Linked DNA regions of Oryctolagus cuniculus. The protein of the gene in region 2 interacts with the protein of the main gene of each other region in a pairwise test. Links are inferred from orthologs where the notes say so. Each region holds a gene or a part of one and is shown on either strand. Other genes may lie near its edges.

Region 1 (3,645 bases), on a different chromosome or scaffold from region 2:
TGGATGGAAGATTCTCTCTCTCTCTCTCTCTCTCTCTCTCTCTCTCTGTGTCTGTCTCTCAAATAAATAAAATAAATATAAAAACTGGAGGAAGGGTTCCTTATTATGTAGTGACGGGGAGTGGGCATGGGAAGTGGAACTTTTTTTTTTTTTTTTTGACAGGTAGAGTTAGACAGTGAGAGACAGAGACAGAGAGAAAGGGCTTCCTTCCGTTGGTTTACTCTCCAAATGGCCGCCATGGCCAGTGCTGTGCCGATTGAAAGCCAGGAGCCAGGTGCTTCTCCTGGTCTCCCATGAGGGTGCAGGGCCCAAGCACTTGGGCCATCCTCCACTGCCCTCCCTGGCCACAGCAGAGAGCTGGCCTGGAAGAGGAGCAGCCGGGACTAGAACCGGCGCCCATATGGGATTCCGGCGCCACAGGCGGAGGATTAACCAAGTGAGCCACAGCGCCAGCCCCAGGAGGTGGAACTTGTAAGTGGTGAGGCTGGTGACGCAGCCACGGATACTTCTACTCATAGCAACCAAGTCTCGCCTGGGTTCTTCCTCCTTGTGGGACCAAACTTAACCCTGCTGATGCCAAAGGCGCCGGGCTGAGAGACCCTGGCCGGGCAGGACGCCCCAGGGATCGGCAGCTCCCAGGAATGACTTCCACCACCACAGGTGAGACCCTGGCCCCGGCCGACAGCTCGGTCACGGCTCGTGCGGTCCTGAGCCGGGGACCGGCTCAACCCGTCCTGGCTGCGGACCCGCAAGCACTCTGAGAAAGGGTCCCGACTGATTCAGCTGCTGCACGTGTGGTCAGTTGTCCACGGCAACAGAAAACCCACAGTGCACCGGGCTTCGCTGCTCACACGCCAGGCAGAGGGATGGACGAGCCGGCGGTTGTGCAGTGACGTGGGGGTGGGGGTGACTGCCTTAGGCAGTAAACATGGAATCATTCGCTTTTTCTAAACACCATCGGCAGAAGCCTCAGACCCATCGAGGAAGCCCCTGGGTTCCTAGGACCCAGAAGGCAGCTGTGTGAGTGACGGGGCGTCTGGGGCGCGTGGCCGCTGTGGCCCCCGCCAGACCGGGGCTCAGGGAGGGCGGGGCCGGGGGCGGGGCGGCGCTCACCTGTGCTTCACCCAGGTGTCGGCCTCGCTGGCCCTCTCCGTGTAGTTCTGCGGCAGGAAGCCGCGGCAGCCGGTCCGCTGCGACGTCCCCACGGCCCAGCCCTCGCTGGCCTCCTCCTGCTGCGTGGGGTCCACGAAGATGTAGTCGCCGGGGCTGAGCGCCAGCTCGTCCTCGTTCTGCGGTTCGTACCGGAACAGCGCCCTCAGGGTCTGGAAAGTGGAGACTGCGCTCACGTCTGGAGCCGGGGCCTCTGTGGGGCCCTCCGTGGCAGGAGGCCGGCTCGGGGCCGGCATCGGGGCTCGGCCGGGGTCCCCGAGACCCCACGCGTGCCTTTGTCTAGTGACACGTGACAGAGATGATGGCATGGAACTCTCCGGGGAGACTCAAAAATAAGTTTTGGTATCTATGAGGGCACTTTGAGAAGTCTGTGAGAAGGAGCCAGCCCTGTGGCGTAGCAGGTAAAGCTGTGGCCTGCATCTCATATGGACGCAGGTTCGAGTCCCGGCTGCTCCTGTTCCGATCCAGCTCTCTGCTGTGGCCTGGGAAAGCAGTGGAAGATGGCCCACGTGCTTGGGTCCCTGCACCCACGTGGGAGACCCGGAAGAAGCTCCTGGCTCCTGGCTTTGGATCAGCCCAGCTCCAGCCGTTGCAGCCATCTGGGGAGTGAACCAGTGGATGGAAGACCTCTCTCTCTCTGCCTCTCTGAAACTCTGTCTTTCAAATAAATAAATAAATCTTTTTTAAAAGTTTGTGAAAAAGGGGCCAGTGCTGTGACGTCGTAGGCTAAGCTTCCACCTGTGGTGCCAGCATCCCATATGGGCGCTGGTTCAAGTCCTGGCTGCTCTACTTCAGACCCAATCCCTGCTAATGGCCTGGGAAGGCAGTGGGAGACGGCCTGGGAGCTGGGCCCCTGCACCCACGGGGGAGACCCGGATGGAGCTCCTGGCTCCTGGTCCAGATCGGCCCAGCTCCGGCCGTTGTGGCCATTTAGGGAGTTTCTCTCTGTCTCTCCCTCCCGGTCTGTAACTCCGCCCCCGAAATAAATAAATAAAATCTTTTTAAAAAAAGTTTGTGAATAAATGGTACAAAAAGATGGTGATTCTGGTGCGAAATGACCACGCGCTTTCCTCGCCACACGTATTTCTCAGGAATACTGAAGACCCCCGCGCCTGCTCGCTGTGCGTCCCGCGCCCTGCGTCCACGCACTTGGCCGTTTCTTACATGAAGGCTCTGCTCGGGTAACCAGGCATTCACGCGCGTTCACGTCCACAGGTCCACAGGGGCTGGCGTGGTGGCCCAGCCGGTTAAGCCGCCACCTGCACTGCCCGCAGCCGTGTGAGCGCTGGTTGAATTCCCAGCTGCTGACTTCCCATCCAGCCCCCGGCTAACGCATCTGGGAAGCATGGATGACGGCCCAGCCCCGGCCACCCACGCGGGAGTCTGGGTGGAGCCCGAGCTCCTGGCTTCCGCCCGGCCCAGCCCTGGCTGTCAGTGCCATGTAGGGAGAGAACCAGCAGATGGAGGGGCTCTCGCTCGCTCGCTCTCTCTGACTCTGCCTTTCAAACAAATAAATTAACATTTTTTGTGACAGGCAGAGTGGATAGTGAGAGAGAGAGACAGAGAGAAAGGTCTTCCTTCCGTTGGTTCACCCCACAAATGGCCGCCACAGCCGGTGCACTGTGCTGCTCCAAAGCCAGGAGTCCGGTGCTTCTCCTGGTCTCCCATGAGGTGCAGGGCCCAAGCACCTGGGCCATCCTCCACTGTACTCCCGGGCCACAGCAGAGAGCTGGCCTGGAAGAGGGGCAACCGGGACAGAATCCGGTGCCCCGACCGGGACTAGAACCCGGTGTGCCGGCGCCGCAAGGCGGAGGATTAGCCTAGGGAGCCACGGCGCCAGCCAAAAAACATTTTTTTAAACAGGCTCCCTCAGCTCTCCCGTGCACAGGGCATGGTGGATTCTCCGGTCCTAGTCCCTGGTCCATGTGGTTCCTTTCTCAGCCACTCGGTTCGCAGGGCAGAAGTCCTGGAGACGCACCCCACCACCACGCGGCTCGGTTCCGTCACCAGTGGGCTTTCTGAACCGGAAGTGCCCCCTTTGTCCTGGGATCTCCGTGCACCTGTGGCTCGTGTGTGTGGTGTGTGTGTGTGAGATGCTGACTTGCAGTTGCATGAGGACGTCATGCTTGTAGAGAGAGAGCTCCTGTCTTCTACCCAAACGTCTCCCGTGGGGGCCCAGGGCAGTGCCGTCGGGGTGGCTGTGCGCTTACTCGCCTCCCATGGTGAGAGCTGACGGAGCCGCACACACGGGGCCCACATCCCACCAGGGCCAGTGCAGCACACACACGGGCTCACGTCCCACCTGGGCTGACGGAGCCACACACACGGGCTCACGTCCCACCTGGGCTGACGGAGCCGCATGCACGGGCCCACGTCCCCACCTGGGCTGACGGAGCCGTACACATGGGCCCATGTCCCCACCTGGGCTGATGGAGCCACACACACGGGCCCACGTCCCCACCTGGGCTGACGGAG
Region 2 (4,345 bases):
ACTTCGCCATGACATCTCTCCCGGGTCCCACACTGCCTCGAAACACTGCGCTGTGGTCTCTGTGGGGTCATATTTGGGTCCACATCCCATCTCCCCGCCAGGCTCCTCTGTGTACCCCAGGAGGCTCCTGGCATTGCGGTGAATGCTCAGGAACTCGGGACACTGGCAGGAGAATGCAGCTCCTGAGTGGCCTGGCATGCCCCAATGTTGGCTGACAGTAGTAACAGCAGCAATAATAACGTGAGTACTTTTGGAGTAATTGTGCCCGTGTCACCCTAGGCAAGTTATCTCGCTTCTCTGATGAAGGCCAGTCACCCAGAGGGCACATCCACCCAGATTCCTCTACCCTCCTTGCTTCATTCTCTTGAACAGAACAAGGAGGGCTGCCTGGAGGAGGCAAGCCGGCTTCCGGCTACCTTGGAGCGGTACCACTCCTCGGCCTCGTGCATGTTGCTGGACGCCACTGCCTCGTACTGCGTGCGGATCTCTCTCAGGGCTGCTGTGAGGTCGGGCTTGGCCACATCCAGCTCCACGTGCACCTGCTGTTGGGCCAGCTGCTCCTGGAGTTCCCGCACCTCCTGGCCAGGGGGAGAGAAGGGGTCCCCGGCTCAGCGCCCGGGCTGCGGCTGGGGTTCTGCACAGCATCGCACCCGCTTCTGCCTGTCTCTCAGCCGTGGGTGTTGGCCAGGGGAAACCGGGCAGCCCTTGTGGGAGGAGGTGGCCCAGCTGAGGCTAGGGATGTCCCTGAGGGTCGCCAGGTCCCCTGGGGCCAAGGATTCTGATGCGCGGCTCTGAGGTCAGCGTGCAGAGGGATTTTTTTTTTCTTTAAATACATGATGGCTCTCATTCTCCCGGAGACAGAGGCAGAGGGACTGACCGTGTGACCCTGGCATGTTCTTTAGCCCCTTGGGTCCCACTGTGCTCGGTGAAAAGTAGATGGTTCTGGAAGGGCCCTGTGTCGTGGGGCTGTGCGGGCCTGTTCTCAGAAAGGGAGTGCGGCCGTGTACAGAGGCTGGCGTCGAGCGCTCTCTCGCGCTTACTCCTGCTTTTTTACAACTGCTTCCCTCCTCCTCTGTCTGTCTCCCAGCCGCAGGCCCATGTTGGACCCCTCCCACCGCCCGTCCTCACTCCCCCGCCGCCCGTCCTCACCTCCTCGTGGACCTTCCTCAGGAACTGGATCTCCTCCTCCAGGGACTCAATCTTCCTCTCCAGATCCAGGCGGGCCAGGGTGGCTTCATCCGCCTCCTGGAGAGTGGAGGGGGCAAAGGGCCACTCTGACCCCAGACTCCTCTTCCCTATTGCCCGGCTTTGCCTCGCCCCTCCTCCTGGGATGGGGGAACAGCACATGGTTCTGGGGGCTGGGCTGGGCTGGGGGCTGTGTTTTGGATGGGCTGCCCCGCCCCTCCCCTCCCCCTCTGATGCCCCTCCCCTCGCCTCCCCTCCCCCCTCTGACCTGTCTGTAGGTGGTCAGGTTGTTTTCAGCCTCCATCCTCAGCTCAGTCTCATCCTGGAGCCTGGGGTGGGGGTGGGGGAGACAATTCCTGGGTCCAGGCTCTTCAGAGGACTCTTGGACCCCTGCCCCAACCTCCCTGGGGTGACTGGCTCAGAGACACCCCTCCCAGCCCCAGAGTGACAGGAGGAGGAAGGGCCACCCACGGCCTTTGCAGAGGCCTTGGCCCGGAGGGTGAGCAGCCAAGGGCTTTGGCTTTAACTCATTACTCAAGTGCCTTGCCAGGGTCGCTGCACCTGCTCCTGCTCACACAGGCGCGTCCACGAGCGTCTACCTGCTCCGCATGGGCAAACACATGCATCGCCCTGCCCTCGAGGGCACACCTGCCCTGCTGGCTCAGCAAGGCCCGTGCCCCTGGCCCTGGGGTTTCCTCCGAGCCCGGGGAACTGCCTTTGCAAATGGGTTTTCTGATGCTCTCTGCTTCCCAGCTGCGGGGGGGGGGGGGGGGCAGAGCAACTCCACTGGGGTCACTAGCCCGGGCCAGGGCAGTCACCTGTGCTTGGCACCTAGGCCTGCCCACTCTTTCCTGTCCCCCAGACCCAATCCTCCGCAGGGACCCCAGCTTCTCTTCCAGTTCCTTCTTTAGAGAGACCCCCCCCCGGGGGGGGTTAGAATAGATGAGCTCCACAACTGTGGTCCCAAGGCCCAGTGAAGGAACCACACAGTCCGGGCCCCTGGCTGCTGGCTCGGCTTCCCCAGTGGGGAGGTGCTGAGGGTCCCTGAGACCCTCCCATCGGGCTGGAGAGCAAAGGGAGGGGAATTGAGGGAGCAGTGGGGCAGAGCCCCATTGTCCTGGACTCTGCAGGCAGCAGCCGTTCCCTCCCCGCCTGCGGGCCCGGTCCCTGTGCCCAGTCCTCACTTCTGCCTCAGGGTGCCCAGGTCCTGCGCCAGATTGTCCCTCTCCACCTCCAGCCGGGTGCTGCTGGCCGTGAGCTGGTCGAGCCGCAGCCGCAGCTCCCGCAGCTCAGCCTGGTAGACGTCGGCCAGCTTGGTGGGCTCCTTGGCCCGCAGCTGGTTGAGCTCGGCGGCCAGCGCCTTGTTTTGCTGCTCCAGGAAGCGAACCTTCTCGATGTAGCTGGCAAAGCGGTCATTGAGCTCCATCATCTCGGCTCGCTCACTGGCCCGGGTCTCCTTGAAGCCGGCATTGAGTGCGCCGGCCAGCGAGAAGTCCACCCGGGCCGGGAGTGGAACAGATGTTCGGGCCAGGGAGAGGCGGGCGCCGGGCCCCAGGCGGCGCCCGGGCGCTGAGCCCCCCAGCACCATCTCGGCAGAGGAGGTGTAAGAGCGGCGAGCAACAGAGGCGATGCGTCTCCGCTCCATCCTGGCCCAGCTCTGCCGACTCCTGGGCTGCAGGCTTTATGGAGCCTTGGCTGGAGGGGCAACGCCCCCTGGCATAGCCTGAGAGGGTGGGGCTGGGCTGCAGCCCAGCCATGGGATGCGCTCCTCTCTCCCCACCGAGGGTGAGGGCGCTGCTTCCTGGCCGGGGCTGTGCTGCCTGGGCCTGAAGCCCTGACTTCTGAGCGGGGAGACCCTTTCTCTGGGAAGGTGGGTTAGGAAGGGGCAGGACCTGCTTTCCAGAGCTCTGAGCGCTCACCCAGGCCTCCATCCTAGAGGGCCTGCCTTAAATTTAATGAAGCACAGACGGGCCGTGCAGGCCAGGAAAAGCCCCAGCCCCAGCACGCACCTGGCATCCCCCATCTGAACACGGCCACCCCATGGTCCAGCCTTCTCCCTCTTCCTGGGATCGGCCTGCAGGCTTGGCCCCCCCCACCCCCGGCTCTTTGTCTGCAGTGTCTCATGGAGCAGGGGACGAGCGAGGGAGTGAGGGAGTGTGGCGGGCTGGCTGGGGCAGATGGGCAGCCCCTTTCCCGCGGTCTCGCCCGCCTCCCCTGGCCTCCCAGACAGCTCTACAAAGCAGTTACGAATGAGCTGGCTGGCCCGTGGGAAGCTCTGTTTCTGTTTCCCTGGCGGCCCTCACTCTCCCACTCGAGATTAATCTCCTTTGCGTTCCGAAGCTTCAGGCAGAGAAGACGGAAAAGGCATCCCAGGCTGGGTGGCTCTGGGGACCCAGAAGCCACTGGGGCATGCAGGGGGGCAAGGGGCTGGGGCCAGGACCCCGCTGTCCTTGAGCTTCAGGTCCATTCACCCCTCCACTCTGCTCGCACAGGGCCGGAGCCCGCCAGGCCCCTCGTCGTCTGTGTCCTGGGACTTCTGGGAAGCAGACTCCCCCCTGCAGCCTCCCCGCCACCCCTGCCCCTCTGGCCCGTCTTCCGGGCACTTGCTGAACAGAGCCTTGTTCTCTGGCGCCGGGGAGGGCGCTGCACGGCAAGGGCGGCCCCCAGGGGGCTGTGCTGCTTTTATCCCACGATGCCAGGCTGTCAGGCCGGGGCGGGGGGGGGTGCAGCACAGCCCCTTCTCAATGCACTTCTCGGAAAGCATCTGCGGGGACTTGGGGTGCAGCGGGGTGCAGGCCGGGTGCCCGCCCTGACCATTGTGTCTGTGCCAAGGTGAGTCACTCAGCGGGCAGGGAGGAAAGGCCCCACTTGCAGAAAAGCCTGGCTGCCCCCCCACCCCCGCAGCCCTCAGCACCAACTCAGTCCCAGGCCCCTCCCTCCCAACACACAGGGACGTGTGACACGTGGCAGGCTGCTGCTGAGGTCCCCCTGTGTGTCCCAGAGCAAAGCTGTCCCACATCTGACCCCGGGCCCTGAGCAGTGACCGGAGGAGCGGGATCTTAAGGAGGGGACATGCAGTGACCTTGGAGCCTGCTGGGGGATGGACAGGGGACCTGAAGGGCAGAGCCAGTCCAGGGAGCAGCCCTGGTCCCCGTGCTCA

Evidence for each region. The genes of interacting proteins can lie anywhere in the genome.
Region 1: the proteins of GFAP (region 2) and UBASH3A interact in binary tests that used the Homo sapiens proteins (3 or more experiments, as listed by UniProt). The link is inferred for Oryctolagus cuniculus from reciprocal best matches to the Homo sapiens genes GFAP and UBASH3A.

What each region holds. Positions count from the first base shown.
Region 1 is NC_091435.1:3,148,146-3,151,790, forward strand, and holds part of UBASH3A (ubiquitin-associated and SH3 domain-containing protein A), read right to left. Parts: intron 1,323-3,645; coding exon 1,114-1,322; intron 1-1,113. UniProt on the Homo sapiens protein: Interferes with CBL-mediated down-regulation and degradation of receptor-type tyrosine kinases. Promotes accumulation of activated target receptors, such as T-cell receptors, EGFR and PDGFRB, on the cell surface.
Region 2 is NC_091448.1:18,168,102-18,172,446, forward strand, and holds the start of GFAP (glial fibrillary acidic protein), read right to left. Parts: upstream 2,852-4,345; 5' UTR 2,831-2,851; coding exon 2,370-2,830; intron 1,515-2,369; coding exon 1,454-1,514; intron 1,246-1,453; coding exon 1,150-1,245; intron 579-1,149; coding exon 417-578; intron 1-416.